Linked DNA regions of Arabidopsis thaliana. The protein of the gene in region 4 interacts with the protein of the main gene of each other region in a pairwise test. Each region holds a gene or a part of one and is shown on either strand. Other genes may lie near its edges. The genes, in order: HAT3, TCP17, TGA9 and AT2G40260.

Region 1 (4,488 bases), on a different chromosome or scaffold from region 4:
GCCTCTGCCAAAAATTGAAACACCGAGAGATATCTTGGTCGTACCTCTCATTTTCTCTTTCTCTGTCGGTTGAGATCTTTTGACATAAGGGAAGAAAAAAATATCGTATCTTCAGTGTTCTGCAAGAGATTCTAATGGTCTGACTTCGTCTATGTGGACCCAAATATCTCCATATACATACCAAATGCTATGTTATGTCACGTACATGTCTCGATATTCGTATTGGCTAACATTTACTTATTACATATGCAAACAACACACGCTTGCTCCATCAATCATAACACCTTTCATTGCTTCTTTTTACTTTATACTTCTAACTAATCTTCTACTGTAATTAATAATCATCTTTACAAATCCCTTTCTTAAGTTCCAAGCAAAAGAAAGAAAACCCCAATTAAACAATTACAACTTTAATAAATGACGCTCTTGAAAATTAGTTTATGCACCATTCGTTATTATGATTCGATGGCCTTAAAATAGAACTCTGGATTTGGTGAAAAACAGATATGATGTAATCAAAATATATAACAATAAAGAATGATAGAACCTCTTATCTTTCCCCAAACTAATAATTGGACAATAATATTAGTAGATTTTCCATTATCCAGAATTCAGCTATAAATAGAAACTGAATAAAACAAAGGAAAGAAGAGCATGGGACCAACTCTTGAAAAGAACTTCCAAGTCCGTTCAACAATATAATAAAAACAAATCACCAAACCTATTATCTTTAGACTAATTAAACTCTAATGAGAACCAGCAGCAGGTCGTTGCCGTAGAGGCATGGCAGCCCACGGACTCATCGGACCCATCGGAGACGATGAATTCATCACAGGAGGAGCCACCGATGACGAAGATGACGTAACAGCGACTCGCTCGCAAGAAGGACACATTGTGAGAGTAGTGGGAGGTTTCATGTGCATGTATAAGTGTGGAGAAAGCTTTAAAGCCCTAAGCTCACTCACTTCCTTTTGCAATCTCCGATTCTCATCCGTTAGATTCTCGCAACATCTCTTAAGATATTCACAGTCTACTTCCGTTTGCTTCAGCTTCGTCCTATAAACACACACACAAACAGTCCAAAACATTAAAATCCGATATCCGGTTTAACTATCCGGGAAAGAGAAAACCCGAAGTACATTTGTTTCTTGTATTCGAAACTGGCGGTTATTGTTCTTGAACCGGAAAACTGAAAACACTTTAACCAAAATTTGACTCAAAAACAACATTGGCGGTTTTAATTCTTAAACCGGGAAAACTGAATAGCTTAAACCAAACCTCCTAATTTAAGACATGAGAGACCCATTAAAATCCTTTAGGATAATCTTATGGGTCATAAAATGGACCATTACACATATCACCATCATAGCAATAACTACTAATGTTTTATTTGTTGGACTATATAAAATTTACGAAAGTAACCCCTTAAAATAGAATAAAAATTTCTACCTTGCCCTTCGGTTTTGGAACCACACTTCAACTTGTCTCGTCCTCAGATTCAATTGCTTAGCCAAAGCCATCTTTTGCTTCTGCATCCAACAACAACAAAAAAAGTCAATGAAAAACATATAAAAAGTCAACCTATTGAAGAAAACTACGGAAATGCCACTGACCGGATTGAGTGTACTATGTTCTTTAAAAGTTTCTTCAAGAACCAAAGCTTGTTCTTTAGACAATCGGAGTTTCTTCCTCGAACTGTCATCTCCGTTCCCGCTACCGTCTTCATCGTCGCTACCACCGCCGAGCGAGCAAGAAGCTCTCTCAATCTCATTATCTTCTACTCTACCTCCTCCAACTGCACCTGCCGCAGCCATTAGCTCTCGCTCGCTCTTCTTCCCGCTCATCACGCTTGAGACGGTGCTGTTCGGAGACGAAACTCCGGCGCCTTCATCCTCCACGTCAACCACCACCGTCGATGGAGCTCTGTTCACGTCTATTCCCCGGAGAAACGATCTCATGTCCGAGTTTCTCTCTGCACGTTACGTTAATCACGCCAAATGATTAAAAATCACAAACATATCAAGAAAATTTTATCTATTATAGGATAAAGTGTAATAAAAAGATCGGATCTAAAACAAAGAAACCTATAATCTTAGACATGAATCTGGATTAGTAAAAGGAGGTAAATACCTGATGACTGAAACATGTTAATCCAAGTGTTCTGAATCTTTTGAGGATGGTTATAATTGCTCTGCTGCATATGCTGCATGTGTGATGAAGATGCATAAGAAGCCAGAGGCATTGGATTTAACCTCGAAGACGGGTCCTTTTGATTAAAACCTAAACTCAAGCTCAAACTTAGCCCCAATCCATCATCTCTTTCACTCATTTTTCTCAACCCCAGAAAGAAGAAAGAAGAATTCTGTCTGGGTGCTCAAGATTTTTAAGCGAGGAAATGAATAAATGACTCTTTCTCTCTCTCTTTCTTAAAGATGTTGTGCCACTGCCTCTACACTTGTGCAGCAGTACAGTTTCAAAAGATATGGCTTATATTTATTTATATATGCAAAAGAGTTTTTTCAGACAAAGAGATATGGGGTTGTGGGGAGGCTTAGGGTTTCAATGATGACTTGTGTCAGAGAGACCTCTGTTACCTCAATGATGATATATACTGCATAAAAACCTGCTTCCTTCTCTCTTTATTTTAACTTAACCATGGTTAAAATTAAAACCAGGAGTTATTACTTTCACCTCACATCCCTTTTCAACCATGGTTAATTGATTTATTATAAGAAAAAAAAAAGTCCAAGTCTCTTGTTCTTTCTCTATCATTTTCCGTTTGGTATATTGTAAGTTGTCACTATTCTTAATTACAAAATAACCTATGAGCGTTTTTCAAATATTATATTAGATTCTTATACATATGATAAACTCATTCACCCAAATCCATTCATGTGAGGTTTTACTAAATATAGATAAAAGCTGAGTTTCTACTTTAAAAGATACTAAAGATTAGTAGTTGACAATATAATTGAGTAGAGATTTTGTGTACCCGAGTTTCAAAGTAAAGAAAATGTAAAAGAAGCTCTTTTTCAAAAACACACAAACAAGCATAATTGGCTTTTTGTAATGTGGCTTTCATTACGAAAGCGGCTTTCTCGCTCGTTGACCGTTGACTGATTGAGAGGATTAAAAAAGCAGCGACCAGACGGTAAAATCCACGCGCTCGTGAGGGTGATCAAATAATGATATCATATCATAATAATTAATAAATCATCATCATCATCAGTATCATTATGAACATCATCATCATATCATGCCTTATTGTTATCATCATAACTTTACTTCTCCCTCTGACCATTGGGGTCCTACGTATCTCAAAAATAATGCAGCTTCGCTTTAATATTAGTACTCTTAAAGCATAATTTGTAGTACTGTATATCAAACCATATAATTGTACTTCCCATTTTAACATGGAATTATATCCTTAAAACAAATCTCACCCACTCTCCAAATTCACCATCACTTGTTAACTTGTTGGTTAGAAAAGGTTCTTTAAGTTAGCTTTATGGTGAATATGTTTCATCATTGGCATTCGATTATGACAACTATTTTTTTTTTTTTGAGAAAAGATCAGCTAAATTATGTTTTTCTTAGTAGTTTTAAACCATTCTATAACCTTTATTGGGTAAAATTATATAACCTAGTTACAAACCAAACTTTCTTAAAGAATGAAATGAATTATTATTCTTCAATGGGTTATTGTTAAAATGTGATTATGAGGATGTTGGAATAATAGGTAAGCGTGAAAGAATAGATACGCGCGAATGGGCGAGTGTGAGGTGGGGGGAGAATAAGGCGGTGGGCTCAAAATGGGTATGGAATCAGGAGGGGGCAGAGATACGGTGTCGTATAGATAGGTTACAGAGAACCTAAAAGCCCTAAACACTGCATGGATTTTGAGTTGTCTGCGAATCCAACATGCATTCCCATTCCATGCCTCCCTCCTTCATTTATTGTTCCTTTTTCCCAATGTGATACCAAAAGATAATTAACTTTCTCATTAATTTCATCTGTCAGTCAAACATAAATAAAAACGCACGACAAGTGGTGTTGGCTGATTTTTATGACTAATAAGAGAGTAATTAAATTACTATTTAATTAATGATGACTCCATATATGTTATTGATATTGCCATCATTACTTCTGCCTTCAGTCTCTTCAAAACTTTCAGCAGTTACACAGACAAGACAGGTCAGCTCTATTTATTTAATTTCCTGCTCGTGTTTAATTTATATGTTTGATTTTACATTTACACAGGAAACAATCTAAACATAACCCTTCTTCTCATTTATTTTCTCCATTAATAACACTGTTACTTAGATTTTTAGAAAACACCAAAAAAAAAAGCATTTGTGAAAATAGAAAGACAAAATATATTTGATCAAGTTTTCCTTTTATTATTAACACACTTATTCAACGCAAAAAAAAAAAAAACATAGCCAAAGTTTATTTGTTTTACCTCTTTGTTATACGAGAGACTTTCAA
Region 2 (3,875 bases), on a different chromosome or scaffold from region 4:
AAGAGGATCGACAAAAGAGAAAAGAAAAAAAGAAGAATAATTAAAAGAAGATATATAGGGATCAGTGCTTGACTTGACTGCAGATTCAGTTGCTGTCTTAACTGCCTCATCTTCTTCTCATTTTCCTTCTCTCATTCGCCAATCCCAATAAGGCAATACTCATCACCTAAATCTATCTCTATATAGCTAGTTGTTGGTTGGAGTATATGATTCTACTCACTTTACATTAATCCAATTACCGGAAAGCTGCTACAACAAATCATATACCTATATATGAATATTCAGGATAAAACGTTTTAGTTGTCGTAAATCCTTCCAATAGGTTCAATAATGCTTTTGCGGCATATTTGGTTTCGGAAATGTAAGAAAATAAATATTCGGTTCGATTAGTTTACATGTTAAGCCCAAAATATATACATACAACGTATATTTGTGTCATTGTGTGTATGAGTGTGTTTATTTCTATTTGTAGATGATATCATATGTGTTGTGTTCCTTGTATACTACACATGCATGTGGTTGTGGACATATGAGTACAAGCTAGGGTTTGGCGTGCAATGAGGCCTGTGTTATAGCATATTTAGGCACTACAAACTTTACATACAAATGTGAAAAGTTTGTATGAGAGATATTATTTATATTGATTGTAGCGGTACAATGAATTAGATATTCTACCAACTCAATCACAACATGAATTATGAATATGTACCTTTGCTCGCATCAGATTTGGCGTCTATTATATAATCTTTAATAAGACTGTCTACTATAAATACACGCATGTGACGATTAATCAATCCAACAATAACCATTAAACCATATAAATCTCCCTCTCTCTATGTACATATAGTAAATGCCTTACATGTCACATGACTTGAATTCTTCAACTTGTTAAAGATCGTCTAAAAATAATCTGCAGCTGGAACTACTCGATATGGTCTGGTTGTGAGCTTGTGCTACTAAAGAGTTGAAGTTGACCACCACCGAGAAACGAAGGGTACCTTGTTGGGAATAGAGAACTCATAGTTTCCGCCGCCGGAGGATTGAGATTATTATTATTATAGTTATTAGAAAATGCGACAGTGACGTTACCAGATTGGTCTAGTAGTGACTGTTGGAGATGTCCAAGGTTGTAGTGATAAGAGCTGCTAGACGAAGTAATTGTAGGGAAATAAAGCTTGTTGCTCTGGATTGAATTCGAGAAATGGTTGTGATGATCGATGTGATCAAACACATGATCAAGATTAACCCATTTCCTTTTCTCAAGATCCAAAGCTTCTCTCTGTGTTCTTCCAAGATCGAAGACCCCGGGAAAAGATTCTCCAAGGCCGGTGAGATTAGGGTTAAGTTGGTGAAAACCAGGTGGGAATTGCAAAGGAGGAAGCAAATCGACGTCGTTTTTGGCAACTTCTAAGAGCCAATCAATGACTTTGCTAGGCTGACTCAGCCCTAATCGTTCTTGAAGGTCGTAGACTTGGATCGCTGTCATCACCGACAACCTTATCCTCCTGTCTCGGAGACCACGAACTGTGCACACTTTGCTGTGTCTATCTTTGCCTCCAAATGCTCGGGAGACTCGCACGATCCTCGGATTATTCCATCGTTGCGTCAACAAGGACAAGGAACTTTTCTGATCTTCTTTTTTTATTCCCATGTCCTCTGTCGATCTAAAAAACAAAAAACAGATGAACAAAATCAATATTGTCATCACAAAGTGTTCAAATTCGGAATGTTTGTGGATTTTTGGGAAGCGTGATCACTTTAATTAGATGAAAGCAACTTCAATAGAGTAAATAACAAAAACCTATTAAGATCAAGAAAACGTATATTACTCGAACTGCATATTAATTTAATTTACTAGATATTTTGTGTATATATACTTAAAAAAGATCAAAGGAAAGTGATTCTCAAATCGAAATAGATTACAATTGAATCAATAGGAAGATCTGAGGATCCAAAGAGGAAAACAAAGGTTTCAAATTATATTACTGCAAGAAAAAAAGATGATTAATCTTACACAGAAAAACTGGTAAGCTTGACGAAGTCGTTGGGTTTAGACAGATCGAGTGAGTTCTTTGTCACGTAGGTTGAGGAAAATGATAAGAACCGAGATGATGAACAGTTATAATTTATTCTCTCTCGTTATCTAAAACTAAAAGTGTATAATATAACATATGGTTGAGGCTGAGCAAGAAATGATATCTATATATATATACGCTCCAATCCCTAGGGTTTTAGTTAGGTATAAAGAGCAATTTGTGTAGTGTGTAGACTATAGACACTCTTATCCACATGTTTTCTGACGGAAAGAAAGATGCTATGATTTTCATTAATCACCCATACTAATAGTAGATAATAAATAAAAACATATACATACACTGATACACATATACATAATCAAAATGTGTACACATGTATCTACTTACTTAGAGATCATTCTTTAGAATGTCTAGTCCTGAATCTTGATGATGCATACGATCATTCTTAACGATATCTTTGACTCCATTCAATAGAAAATACTAATGTAAGAAAATTACATTTTCATTACACACTACATATGGATCTTTTGCTATATATCATTCGAAACAATAGTTCAAAATTACTGAGAACCAACTTATACATTACATTTGGTATAGGGCAAATTCCATTATATATAGTATGTGATGTGCATCAGTAAATGTTAAGACCCAAAACTTTTAAAAATTAGGGGTTTCCTTTCGATTTTCTTCGTGAGATGATCCCAATTGAGCTCCATAATACTGTACATATTATAGTAGGCAAATAGATTGACAGCTAAAATGGTTGGTCTTAGATGGAGGATGGACCAAATTAAAGAGTACATGTTTTTTTTTGTTAAAATAAAGCATCTTAGATATGTAATATGCTTATATACAGATTCATGGTGGACCACTATATAATTTGCATGGCAGTGAGATATCTAGTTCATTCTTTTAAGCATTATTTATATACACTGTCAGGATATCACAATAACAGAATTTCATATAACAAAAATATAATTATTAAATTTCATAAGAATTCTTGTAATTCAATAACAATGACATTGGGGTTTTATATCAATGAGTGAATTCTTGCCATACTGCCAAATTTCACTATATATCTTATAATAAACTGTTTTACTTTTCTTTTAAACGTTTCACAATTTATGACTAATTATTAGCTGCTTGTATACAATGTGTATAAGTAGACCTCTGCGTATGTGTATCAGAGAATCAGAGATTGAGAAGTTTCTCTAGTTGGGACCTAAGGTCGGCTGAAGTAGATAACGATGATTGGACTTCAGTTTCAAAAATTTATTAGCCTTTAGTGCGTTGGATTATGTAATCTTCAAGACGATTGAAGCATATACAAGAAAATAGTTTTAACCTTTTTTCCTAGAAATTTGTTAAGTATGAACGATTCCAATTTCATAGAGGTCAAATACATTACATACTAGCGGTAGATCACATACTAGTGATGGCGGTTAAAAACGAACCTTTAATTCGGTTACCAATATTGAATTGGATACTTGGACTTGAAATAAGCGGTTAGAAGCTCAAACGAATGATTTCAAACTGATTTGTCCTAAAACCACAATCAATTTCAAGTAAACCCTGCTTATCTTTTACCACTGCAAACCGGACCATATTCTCTGATCGCTAGAGAATCTTATTAAGTTTGGTCACACAACCTAGCTGTAACCACAATGAGTGCAAAACGGTAACCACAATGAGTGCAAAACGGTAACACAGAGTGCAATTGAAACGCTCATGTGTCCCAGTTTAGACCAAAAGTTGGAATACGTGCATATGATGACGTATGCATGTCACTTACACACAGACACATTTTGGACCCAAATTCCTGAGCCGTCGTTCTCGGTC
Region 3 (7,988 bases), on a different chromosome or scaffold from region 4:
AATGGGTATTACAAAAGTCAATACATATCAATAACAATCAATTTGATCATAATGTTTGAAAACAAGAAATTTTTTTAAAATATTTTTGTTGAGTTCAAAACAAAACATTGAAAGAGATGGAGAATACTTTTAACATATTCTCTTTGTCTTTTTTTCAGCTATATTATATATAAAAGGTAAAAACAAGTTGGTGAAAGAAATTTGGCTCTTGGAATAATTAAATCAAAGACCAAAACAACATATAATTATTATAGAACATCAAATGTTGCTTTCACGTATTGTCTGTTTCTGGATTATTTGTTTTTTTTTCAATTAGATAATTTAGCCAGCACATACGTTTGTTCATATATGTACGCAAAATATATGCACGTATTTCCGCATTTTTAAACATTTGTACATCTAGTATATATATAAAACGTTAAAATTTACCCAATATATTTCTAAAAAATATATTCGAATTCCTCTCTAACTATAAACCAAAATACGTTGCAAATTTTGTTTAGTCAAAAACTATCTACAGTTATATAGTAGGTCAAATTTTGTGTATATTTCACACGGTGTTTTTTTCTCTCGTTTGCATTCGTTTGTAATTATTGTTCGAGCAAATGAAGTAAAAAAAAAAAAAAGATAGGTGAGAAAATGGAACCTGGCGGATAAAGCCTTCGAGATTAGAGATCTTTCCGAGAGCGACAGCCATTTGTTGCATTCCGTCAATGACTGGAGATGCGGCGAGAGTATCGATGAGAGATTGCTGAAGTTGTTCGAGGCCTTGCGAGAGAGCCTCCTCTGCTTGTTGCGACGAGTGTTGTAGGCTATATATTCCCATCAGTTGTTGCTCCGTCAATAGATCCATTTGCGACACCAATATCTAAGATCACATCCCTTTCTTTAGTTAATCATGATTCCACAACTTTTTTATCACACGCAAATAATTAAACCGAAGAATACTCATTTCTGTTTACATTTTGCAGCAATGTTTCAGATTTGTTGATGTAATTTACTAACGTGAATATCATTTTGTTTTTCAAACGCAAAACCTAAAACTTACGTTTGTAATCATGGGGTAAAGTAAGGAAGAACAAGTCGAACCTTGATTAGGTCGGATGGACGGAAACCAGCCATCCAAATAAAACAACGTTCGGCTGGGGACATCCATGTCCCAATGATGAGGTGAAAAACATCGGCTTTCGCTGCCACGGCTTTTAATCGGAATATCTCATCAAAATGAGCAATGTAACCGTCAACGATCAACCTTAAATCATTGTCAGATAAATGAGCCTGAAGACCGGTTCGAATCTCCGACATATGCCGGTTATCATCCTCTAGCCATCTCCCATATTCCATGTCAAATATTGCAGCTCCTACGTACATTCGATTTTCAACATTTTGTTAATAATAGTTTAACCATTATTGTACTTATTTTAATACAATAATACATTGCAATTGGTGTTTTAGGTTTCAAGTACCGGAAGTGATGTTAGGTCCTGGTGGTCCACAACCACCCATGAACAGCCCCTACCATCGACATAAACAATATATTAATTTCAACAAACAGACATTATTAATAACCAATGAACAATTGAGAAACTTAGCAAATGACAGGTTTTGACAAATTTAAAAAAAGATTTAGCAGAATATATAGGATTATAGGAATATAAATGATTCAATTTCAACCTGAGAACGAGCTCGCTGAAGTTCTTGCTCCAATTGGGAAAGCTTTATCCTACTTGATTCTAGCTGTTGCACATACGCCTGCTCAAACCATATGTATATGCATTTGTTATTTTCATACTAGTATCATTACATATAGAATAACAAGAAATGCGGAACTTATACGTTCATAAATGAATTATAGAAGACTGGTAAATGGTAGATAAAGAAATAAATGCTCATGTAACAGCGGTTTCCAAGAAGAATAAAAGACACCACTGCGTATGTTTTACTAGTAGCAATAGCATTATTGTAATTCTATGCAACAAATTATCATTTGGAAAAAGTAGCAAAGAATATATAAATAGGTCAAAAAAACAAAAACAAATGATAATAATTTGAGGTGAAAAGTCAGGCAATTATATGGTCATACCTTTTTCCTAAGACGGCTTTTGCGAGCAGCTTCTCTATTTTGGGCCAAACGTCTCAACGTCTGCATAATCCAGATTTAAGAACATTTAAACAAGAAGTTAACGAATTAATTCAGGTAAAAAAGGTTACTAAAAAGTAAGTACATATATAGGAATGGATATGTCTCCTCGGGGGAGTCAAATAAAATGTATAGGAAATGATGATGATGAAAGTTAAAGTACCTTAGCATCAAGCTGTTTGCCTGAAGTTGTAGCCTTCCTCTGCAATGTCAGAGAACAGAGATGAAAATAGAAATTCATTCAGTGGAAAGAAAGTAAACATAAATTAAATTGTGTGAGTGAAGTCGACTCATGTGATAAATATTTAAATACCATTTACACACAATTAAAAAAACAGCATTATTAAATACTTTTTTTTAATGTAATATTAAATCTAAGCAATATGAACTCATTTAGGGAATATATGTGTTGTTAAAGTAAACATAGAAATGAGGATATGTAATCATGTAGTAAAAAGTAAATTATAAAAACAATAATAACACCTAGGAAGATTCTTCTGCTTTATTCCGCTTTTTGGGGATTTCATTTAATAATTTGTATTTTAAATTTGTCTGTTTTCATTATTTTATCAACGATTCGAGAGGTCAAAATTCTGAATTTTCTCTGATCCGTTTCCTTTTTGGGATCTGTGTATGTTTTTGTTTTATTGGAAAGATTTGTTAGGACATAGACATATATGAAAAAGCATGTGCATGCATATCTATCAAATGACAAGGAGAGAGAGAGATAGGCTAATGATATACATACCATGTACATGCACCAAATTAAGCATGCATGTTTCATGATGACTCCAAGTACGTACCATGCATATATCTCTTTCTAAAATTAAATTTTAAAAAGTGATGATGATGATGATGATGATGATGATGATGATGAGTACCTTATCTTCCGAAGGTTTAGGAGGAGCTAAAGTTCGAGAAGTGGAAGGAAGTCCAGATGTTGAACTTGAGTTTGCCATGTTATTATGATGAGGTTGAAGCATGAGATGATGTTTGCTACTCATAGGAGACTCCGGTTGTTGACTTTCAGCTTTGCCGGAGAAATTAGCCGATCCTGAATCGCTGCTCTCTCCTCCTGACTTGGAACTCTCCTGCAATACATATTCAACATAATCATACTCATCATCATTAACGTATAAGATAATTAATAAAAAGTCAGAAAAGGGATAATCAATGTAACTAAGGAGGAATTGACCTTAGCGTATATAATTTGACAAACGGGGTACTATAAGTTTATGTAATATAAAATAAAGTCAAGAGAAAGGAATGGAGTAATTAACTACTCTAAAATCGCTATCAGCTTTTGAGTTGAAAGAAGCAAAAATAAGAGATAGTAAGAGGAACAAGAAAGCTGAAACATGTATATAAAAGTGAGGGTAAAATGAAAATATAAGTTTTAAGTTTAAATAGGAATGCCGAAAAAGGAGAAAAAAACAAGAGGAAAGGGTCAAAGAAGAAGAAAGGGTACAGTAGGAAGAGTTTGGTGAGTTCTGATTGGCCACGAAGGGAACATCTCCAGAGTCGTAGCTCCTCCTCCTCCTCCTAATAAAGCTGCAATTTTACCCATCATTACATTTATCAGATATGTAATGTTCATATGTAATCATGTAGTATGCTAGCTACTTATTAAATGTGTGCATGCATGTATATGTGTTTTTGATGTAATTTAAGTAGTACTACAATATATTCTACTTAGAACTAACTACATCATTTATCACGTGGAATCTATATATAACATGACACATTTTACTAATAGTATAATTATGAATATTTTGATATAGAGGAAGTTAGGGAGTTGGTAAAAGATATTTTCTTCTTTTCTTATTTTCTAAATAAAGAGAAGAGAAATAGAAAAACAAGTCACGCCATCCAAGGCTCTCTTTTGCCTCCGTATCATCACCTAAACCTATCTAAAGACTTGTTCAGACTACTCTCAGCTTTTTATTTTGTTTTTTCCAGTTTCAGTTTTTTGCTCAGAATTTTAAAAACTTTATTGGAGTTTGTTAAGGAAAGCTCACGTCATGAAGATTTGAGAGAGAGAGGGGGGCTTACGTGGCTTGGCTTCCTCGTTCCTATACTTGACACCTTGCAGAACAATTGCTTCTTCTAGCTCTCCAAAATCGAAACTGGACGATCCATCTTGGTTACTGTTTCATTTATTAATAGTATTGTTTAATTAGTACAAAGAGAATATTCATCATGTGTTACTACAACTATACAATCAGAAACCAAGAAAAATTGGAGACCAAAAGGAACAACAATTAAATTAAAATATAAATACTTGATTAGAGGGTCGCATTTTGAGTTAGAAGATTAATAAAGACGGTCGCATATAATGAAAGTTTACACAAAAGCTAAAGCACATATAAAACCTATTTCGGATGATCCATAACACATTTTTTAGTTTCTGTTTTACCTATAGATTTCCGTTGACCATTTCATATCTCATAAATGAAACCGTATAACATATCATAATACTACTAAGAAAATGACAAATTGAGAATAAACAAAGAAAACCCATATAAAATTCAATTAGAGCTCAATATTAAGATATGTAATATGAATAAAGTTGAGCTTTATGTATATGTAAAGAAGAAAAGACGAAGGAAGATTTGTTAATTACATGAAACCAGAAGATGGATGATTGTTGTTGAGACCATGAATAAGTGAATAAGGAAGATGATGATTGTGGTTATGGTTTGTAGCTTCGCTCATTCTATGGTTCGCCATCTCTACTCAAGAAAACAGCTTCAATTGATGATATCTCTTCTTGATTAGTCTCTTTTCTGCAAAACACATTAAATCTTGAAATGATGAAAAAGATGATAATCACTATTGAGAGAAGCTCGAGTTAAGAAACACAAGAGAGAACTAGCTAGGGAGAGGGAGAGGGAGAGAGATTGCAAAGTCTTATAATTAATTCTTGATTAGTTGATCAAATGATTGGAATTTGAAAAGAAAAAGCTAGTTGATGATATGAACATGAAAGTAAGATATCTATGTGTTTACCTTTTGTGATGTTTTGCTTTTGGTGTTTGAGAACAAAGAGGAGAGAGAGAAAGTAGAATGGAAGCTTTCTCGTCAAAGGCTTTTTTATGGCTGAACAGAAAAACAAAAGAGGGTCCAATCTTTTCTCTTTCCGAGATACATATACAAAATTATGTGGGCGTGTATATATTTGTAGTTGGATAGAGAAATGATAATAAAGTATTAGTAATTGACTAATGTATAGTATCATTACTCTTTCTCTCTTTATTACTATTCTCTCTATACTTGTATGTGAAGAAACCTTTGTGATTCATCATCACTCTCTCCTTTTCACCACCTTTCTCTATCTATTTCCATAGTAAACACAAATTCCACTTGCTAAATTTCAAAATTTTATTGAAGAAAACAATAAAGAAATATTGATAATTTTTCATGGTAAATCAGACGAAGATCTTGTCCTTCCTAGACTTTGTCTCCAGGCTATATTTATGTGTTGCATTTTTTTTTGTTTTCCAAATAATAATATTGGGTTCAAAAAAGTTGTACAGAAAATTGAAAATTTAGTTGACTAACTTTATAGCTGTCAAGGGTGAAGCTAGTACTTGGCAATTGATCAGATGGAGTGGACGATCTCTATTCATACACAAACCTGAAATGTAGAAGTTAAACAGAAAATCAAAAGTCTAAGAGTGCTTAATTAAAAGAGCTTTATCCTTGTTAAGAAAAAGAATGGAGCTTTATCTTTGGTAAAGAATAAAAGAGCCTTATCCAATATGTAGAAGATAAATAAGATGATTGGATATAAGATTAATTGGACCGATCACAAGAAAATGGAGGTAGATTATTAAGAAAACTATCGACTTCTCTAGGTAGAAAAAAATTGAGCGAGAAGAAAATTAAATGAGAGTTTGTAATTTAGTCCATAAAATAAAAATAGAAGAAAGAGAGCAGAAAAAGAGGAGGAACCCACTAGAATCACTGACTCCTACTCCACAATCTCTCTCTCTCTCTTTGTAACCGCCTGTTTGTGCTTATTGGCTCTTTTTCATCAAATCTCTTTTTGGGCTTATTCACGTACACATTTTTTCAATAATCTATCATCTTTTCTGTAGTATTATTCATCGTATTCACGTACATGCCTATATCAAAATACGTATCTGTATATGTGAAAGTAAAGTGGTGAAATTTGCATAAAAGAATTGGGTTTCACTCTATCATCTTAGCAGCATGGATCATGCATGAAGTTATTTTTTCTAAGTAGTCTGTGTGTTAATCTAAAACCAAAAGAAAACTAACAGGAAAATTCTAGAATTATATCAAGAATCTTTGAATGGGCATGATATATACAGCATATACTTTATATTTTTGCCAAAAAAAAAATGATATATATATCTTTAGTCTAGTAAACAAATATATACTATAACTAAATGATCGAATACAACTCCCCAGCTATAGTTTAAGCTAAATTATATATATTATTTGGATGATCTAATGAGTTTGTTATTGGAATAGTACTAGAGATAGTGATGAAATAATGTTAATACACATAATCATAAATTCATAATCAAAGACAATGCATTAATGTGGGATAAGGAATGTTTGTTGATTTGTGTATGTATATTAAAATAGCAGAATCGAGTGAGTTTCTATTTCTAAACTACAACTCTTTTTGTTAAATGACCTTTGAGACAGAGAGAGGGATAAGAATAGTATGAATATAATACGTCTACTTATATGTAACACACTATACATAATTACAGATTTTTTTTTAGTTTCATCTTCAGTCTATAACCTTTTGAAAGCCGAGAGTGATAATATGTGAAACAGTTTCTGAAAGTTTTTTCTTCTTCTCAAAAATTAACAGCTTTTAGGCTTTAAGTTTCAAATTTGGATATAATAGAACTAGAGCAACTTTCTCTAGTCGGTTAACCTAACATACTTAAGTATTGAATAATTAACTATTTTGCCTCTACCAGTTCAACCAAAAAAGCCTTAGAATAATGACAATTATGTAGACCAATAAGATAAAATTAAACGGCCTTCTTGCATTAATCGTAAATAAATATAGAAAATAGCATTAAAATTATCAATAATTATTGTAAACATCTCAATCGAGTGTTATTTAAATTGATTAGTTTGGTATTATCCTATAATTTTGTTGATCGGTCAACATCCACTCCCTGTCATCACCTAAATCCTAATGCCACATTTCAGATTCCTTTCCTTTATTAGAAATTGTTATATGCCTCCTTTGATTCGTATAGCTGTTTTAGTCAATGCAGCTCTCTTGCAAATCCACATTTGTCATGGCTTTATTCCTTTAGTTTGTGTCATAATGACCCCCTCCGAATTGAGAATTTATTTTTCACGGCTCTTTAGATGCTTTTTTTGGGTTCGGTAGAAGTATATAACTCACGGTTAAGCTTTTATAGAATCTCAATATTAATTTGTCCATCAAGGCATCAAAATAATGTTTAGATTACCATCTCAGCCCAATACCGGCCATAATCTTATATGGAGGATGCATATTATTATGTAGACATCAATGATCAATCACTTTGGGACAACTACTCAAGCTCGTTTTCTAACGAATTGGGATTTTTGAATTACTTACTCAAAATAGTGTAGTCGGTTTTGGTCTAGCATGATCTAAAAAGTCCAACAAGCCGAGAGGCCCAAAACCCTAATATTCAAAACTTCGTGGCCTAAATGTTTCATCCTGTGTAATTTTCTTCAACAACCATTATCTTGGGTGAAAATTGTCAAATTTGCATATTTTCCATTATTGTCATTGACTTTCTGATTCGGTAACAGTCATATGATGTAAAAATGGGCCACATCCTTATTTGGTTTGCTTCAG
Region 4 (4,405 bases):
GAGATCAAGACATATCTCTATGTCAAGTACATCTGTCTTCTTGTCGTTCTCTCCAATTTTCTCTTAAAGAAAGTGTCTTCTTTTTTTCTTAATTAACCTCGCAACTAAATTAAAATAAACTTTGGTTGGTTATCAGAACCGATTTGTTTTTTTTTTTTTGTTTTTTTAATACAAACAAAACATTCAGCAGACCTGATTTTTAAATTAACGGACCTTTCATATAATTTCAACTACAAATCTAAAACATAGAATAATTTATAAAACGATTTTGAAGAAGGCAAAAACTCGTCTTTATAAAAATAATAATGCTATAGCTCAGAAAGCTATGACTCGGAAGTCTTCATCTTCTTTTCTTGTATTCACTGATTTGACGTTAACGTATAAATTTTCAGACAATATCTCCATGTTAAAACAAAAATATTGCTTAGGATACTTGTTATGTGAGAGTAAACTACATATACATTGCAACGTCTAGACAAGCTTATAGACAACGTGCAATGTCTTGTAACTCTCAAAACCATATATATAGACTCTCACTAATGTATTTCTTGGTTACTATACTATTTAGAAGAAAACAAATTTCTGCTCCCAACTCGATCACAAATCATATATATTTTAAAATATGCATTTAACGATCTCGACAAAATTATGTGAATTTTTTTTTAATAAAAAACATTAAAAAATGTCTCTATTATTTCCTTAATTATGGGTCTTGTCACAAGTATGCAACGAATGATAAACAACAATACAGAACCGTCTTCCATCAACAAGTACCACAAGATCTCACTTAGAATATACGTATATAAGTTGTTATACATATTCACAGAGTGAGATCAAGGGGACTTGCCAAGACCGAAATCTTTCTCTTTTTGTGATCAGTTTGATCTTCTTTCCTAATGGTTCGGTCGAGTTTTGATGAACCTGAAGATGATAACGAAAGAGACAAACTCTTGATATCTTGATGATCATCATGTTCTTTTACTTCATCTTCTAACAAGCATTCTCCAAGATTGTCGTGTGTCCGAGGTACCTTAAGGGACAAGCTTAGATCCAAATCTTGGTCTGACTTATTGCAGTCATCAGAAAATAATAACCTCTTCCTCTTCAAAACATTCTCTGATCCTTCTGCCACTCCAGCATTCTCCCATTGATAAGAATTTAGCGTTGTAGCAATATGATCTTGTGGTATTGTTGCGGTGGAGGACTTAAGATTGGAAGAGAGGCTCTGTCCCCATGATTTGTTAAACGTTTTCATACCTTCAAGAAAACTTCTATGAATTCTTGGAACAGCTCCAGCTACTCCATTGTTATCATGAACCCCTTCATGAGAATTGATTCGAAATGAAATAGTTTTGTTCTTATCGTTAAGAATACTATTGCTAACTCCGTGATATCTCTCACCAGGCTGTGAGCTAAACATTGTTTGTCTTGTTCTTGTATTTTCTCGTGTCGTTAATCCTCTCCAAGGGCTACGGTAGATCTGTCGTCTGTGGTCAGTCCACGAACCACCACCATATCTATTGAATACATTCCAAGTTACACACACGTAATTTTAACTTATAGTTTAAAGATAGCTAGCTGAAGAGTTTGTAAATACCCTAAACTAGAAGAAGGCCTTTGATCAAAACTTTGTAGCATTGGAAGTTGGCTAAGGTTGTAAGTGTAACCAGCTCCGTGTTCAAACGAAAATCCTTGATCTCCTGTAGTTATAAGAAAAGATAAAACACGAGAGACAAGAATTAGTCAATTTCTCGTCGAATTCAATTATAAGATTTATAGAAGCCCTAACTTAAATCAGAAGGTAGAAGAAAGCTAAGTAAACTACCTTCATTAGGCTCATCGGTCTTCTTGCTTCTGTACATCTAAGAAGAAAAAAAAATGAAGTATGATTTCAGATGAAGATCTCAATGATGTATATAGATATATACTCTATGTGTATGTGGATATTTGCAAAACCTGAAGATGACTCTTAACATGGGCAATACTTAGCCCCTTGACGTTCATCAATTGGAGAACAAGCTTCGGTGTTGCTCCTGTTTCAACAAAATCATTGAAAGAGACCCCAAATAAATATCAACAAGAAAACCCTAGAAATTTAGAGATCTTCACATATGCAATGATCTTGATATTGATTCATATATATAATTGAAACTCAACTATCTGGGCCACCCAATCTCTCCACAGCTTGAAGAAAGCAAATATGGAGCTCCGGCGTCCATCGCAGCCTCGGAGTCTTTGAGCGGTTGTACGGCCTCACGGATCCTCCATTCTTCTTGTTCTGATCATGGTGGTGACTCCCACTCTCTTCCTCATAGCTATTGCTAGATGGGCTCTGATCTCCAGATCTCTCTTCTTCATCCTCTTCGCCTTCTTCATCATCCTCTTCATCTTTATCTTCTTCATTCTTGGTGGTTGCTTTGATGTTGTTAGATAGACAAGTCTTGGAGTTTTCAGAATTTTGGCTGCTTGATCTCATCTTGGTCTCTAGCTATTTGGCTGTTTTTGTGTTGTTTGTTTTGAGGTTGAACCTTTTTGGTCTATCTTGGAGTTCTCTGGACAAAGATCAAACAAAGATCACACACTCATACATATGTGTTAGGAATTTAAGGTGAAGACTTTTGATGGTCTATGTGTATGACTTTTTGGATGCTTGTATCCATCATTCCTTTTTCTCCCCCTCTCTCTCCAACTCAACATATATGTTGAAATATGTATATGATGGCAACGGATATTCTAAATTCTATTTAATATATAGCTTTTTATTACACCAATGGTTTTTTCTACAGTTATATACATCTTAGGGAAAGATAGATCTAGAATTACACCTCATGACAAAAATGGTACTTTTAATTTCATTAAACATTAGTAACTTCAGTCATAAGATGTATTTTAAAATGAGTTAATAACTATTAAGTCAATTAGTACAATTAATCTTTGAATCTCGTTGTGATAGGGAGTGAAAAGAAATTCCAAGGAGTAGATTGAATTTATCTAAATAATGATCATTTTCATGGTAAAAGATCAAACGTTTTCATGATATCAACCCGTACGTATACCAATTTTATGACATAAATCAGGGTTCAATATGACATGTACATTAACAATTTTTTTTGTTCTTTCTTTCAAAACCAACTGAAGATCTATGTTTTTCATTGGATTTGGTACGTGTTTTTGTTTCATTCGAACTAGCTTTTAGCAATATAGGAAGAAGGCAACATTAATGAGGCATACACATTAATTAGATAAATGAAACTTCTTCCATCGTTACAACTCATGAATTAAATTGACTAGAAAAGCAAAGCATAAAAGGGGATGGTTAGGGGGATGGGCTCGTGACTTCAAAGCCAAAGCTGTGAAACCAGAAAAAGAAGAAACCCAAAAGCATAATTAGATAGATAGACAGAGAAAGAGCATAGAGAGAGGAATCAGACAGAAGTTAAAAGGTGCTTGGCTGGGCTGTCTTCACTGAAAGACACGAGAAGAAAATATTACTACTTGTTTCTGTCACCAACGACAATCACGGGTTTGTCTCCATCTCCACTACTCTTACGATTTCATATTATCTATAATTATCTACACATGCGCCTCTCTCTATATACATGCAAATAGTACATCTCTTTTTCTATATATAACCCAAATAAATGTTAAAAAATAAATAAATAAATTAGGATACAGAATATAACAACTGAAGCTAATAAGTCACATGATTATCACAGAATTGAACTTGAGAATTATATGAGTTTCTGTACGTACACACATGCAACCAATTGATTTAGTTTGGAATTCAGTTCAGGGGTGATTAGTTCGTTCTATATAGCGTACGTACTATTAAAATTACTAGTAAAATACTAAACAAAAGATATGTTCTAATTAAGTATGTCATACTTTTATTTTTGTGAAATTAAGGAAGTAGGCAAAGTAGGGGATGTCATACTTTTTTAAGAACTTAGAAAGGAGAAAATTAAAATGTATAATATATGATTTACTTATTGTCATGAACTTTGCGCCTCCAGGAGAGGGTCAAGGCAGAATTGTATCTATCTGTATTCCTCTAACATCAGCAGGCTAATTTTTCTTGTAAGCGACATGCAAGTACTGTGTCAAATTTTGTGAATGGTGACCAGATAATGTGAAAGTCATCGGTCAAATAAATTAGGTATATGACATTTCTTTCTGTTTTTTTTTTTTTTTTCAAAATCGTTTTTGGAAGCCCAATGTCCAGCCGTAATCGTATATTTTCGTCGTCGTTATTAATTGGTAGGAAGAATTAAAGCTGTCGTATATTTTGGTTTTAAAAGTGTAGCAATAATAATTTACGTTAGAATGACGTTCTTCATATCTACCCTATAATCCTACTTCCATGCTCAGACAACCCATGATCAATTATACGACCCAACAGATACCA

Evidence for each region.
Region 1: the proteins of AT2G40260 (region 4) and HAT3 interact in a two-hybrid assay, tested with the Arabidopsis thaliana proteins (one large-scale study listed by BioGRID).
Region 2: the proteins of AT2G40260 (region 4) and TCP17 interact in a two-hybrid assay, tested with the Arabidopsis thaliana proteins (one large-scale study listed by BioGRID).
Region 3: the proteins of AT2G40260 (region 4) and TGA9 interact in a two-hybrid assay, tested with the Arabidopsis thaliana proteins (one large-scale study listed by BioGRID).

The regions. Positions count from the first base shown.
Region 1 is NC_003074.8:22,320,042-22,324,529, forward strand, and holds HAT3 (homeobox-leucine zipper protein 3), read right to left. Parts: upstream 2,621-4,488; 5' UTR 2,330-2,620; coding exon 2,131-2,329; intron 1,973-2,130; coding exon 1,614-1,972; intron 1,530-1,613; coding exon 1,450-1,529; intron 1,057-1,449; coding exon 747-1,056; 3' UTR 539-746; downstream 1-538. UniProt on the Arabidopsis thaliana protein: Probable transcription factor.
Region 2 is NC_003076.8:2,582,661-2,586,535, reverse strand, and holds TCP17 (TCP domain protein 17), read right to left. Parts: upstream 2,179-3,875; 5' UTR 2,015-2,178; intron 1,665-2,014; 5' UTR 1,652-1,664; coding exon 923-1,651; 3' UTR 501-922; downstream 1-500. UniProt on the Arabidopsis thaliana protein: Plays a pivotal role in the control of morphogenesis of shoot organs by negatively regulating the expression of boundary-specific genes such as CUC genes, probably through the induction of miRNA (e.g. miR164). Participates in ovule development.
Region 3 is NC_003070.9:2,622,582-2,630,569, forward strand, and holds the start of TGA9 (bZIP transcription factor family protein), read right to left. Parts: upstream 6,014-7,988; 5' UTR 5,702-6,013; intron 5,348-5,701; exon of another isoform or gene 5,240-5,347; 5' UTR 5,150-5,239; intron 5,141-5,149; exon of another isoform or gene 4,927-5,140; 5' UTR 4,871-4,926; coding exon 4,764-4,870; intron 4,288-4,763; coding exon 4,193-4,287; intron 3,692-4,192; coding exon 3,609-3,691; exon of another isoform or gene 3,232-3,608; coding exon 3,022-3,231; intron 2,343-3,021; coding exon 2,304-2,342; intron 2,144-2,303; coding exon 2,084-2,143; intron 1,753-2,083; coding exon 1,675-1,752; intron 1,516-1,674; coding exon 1,467-1,515; intron 1,362-1,466; coding exon 1,090-1,361; intron 869-1,089; coding exon 647-868; intron 1-646. UniProt on the Arabidopsis thaliana protein: Together with TGA10, basic leucine-zipper transcription factor required for anther development, probably via the activation of SPL expression in anthers and via the regulation of genes with functions in early and middle tapetal development.
Region 4 is NC_003071.7:16,815,998-16,820,402, forward strand, and holds AT2G40260 (Homeodomain-like superfamily protein), read right to left. Parts: upstream 2,734-4,405; 5' UTR 2,477-2,733; coding exon 2,158-2,476; exon of another isoform or gene 2,034-2,157; coding exon 1,957-2,033; intron 1,863-1,956; coding exon 1,826-1,862; intron 1,701-1,825; coding exon 1,598-1,700; intron 1,518-1,597; coding exon 821-1,517; 3' UTR 533-820; downstream 1-532.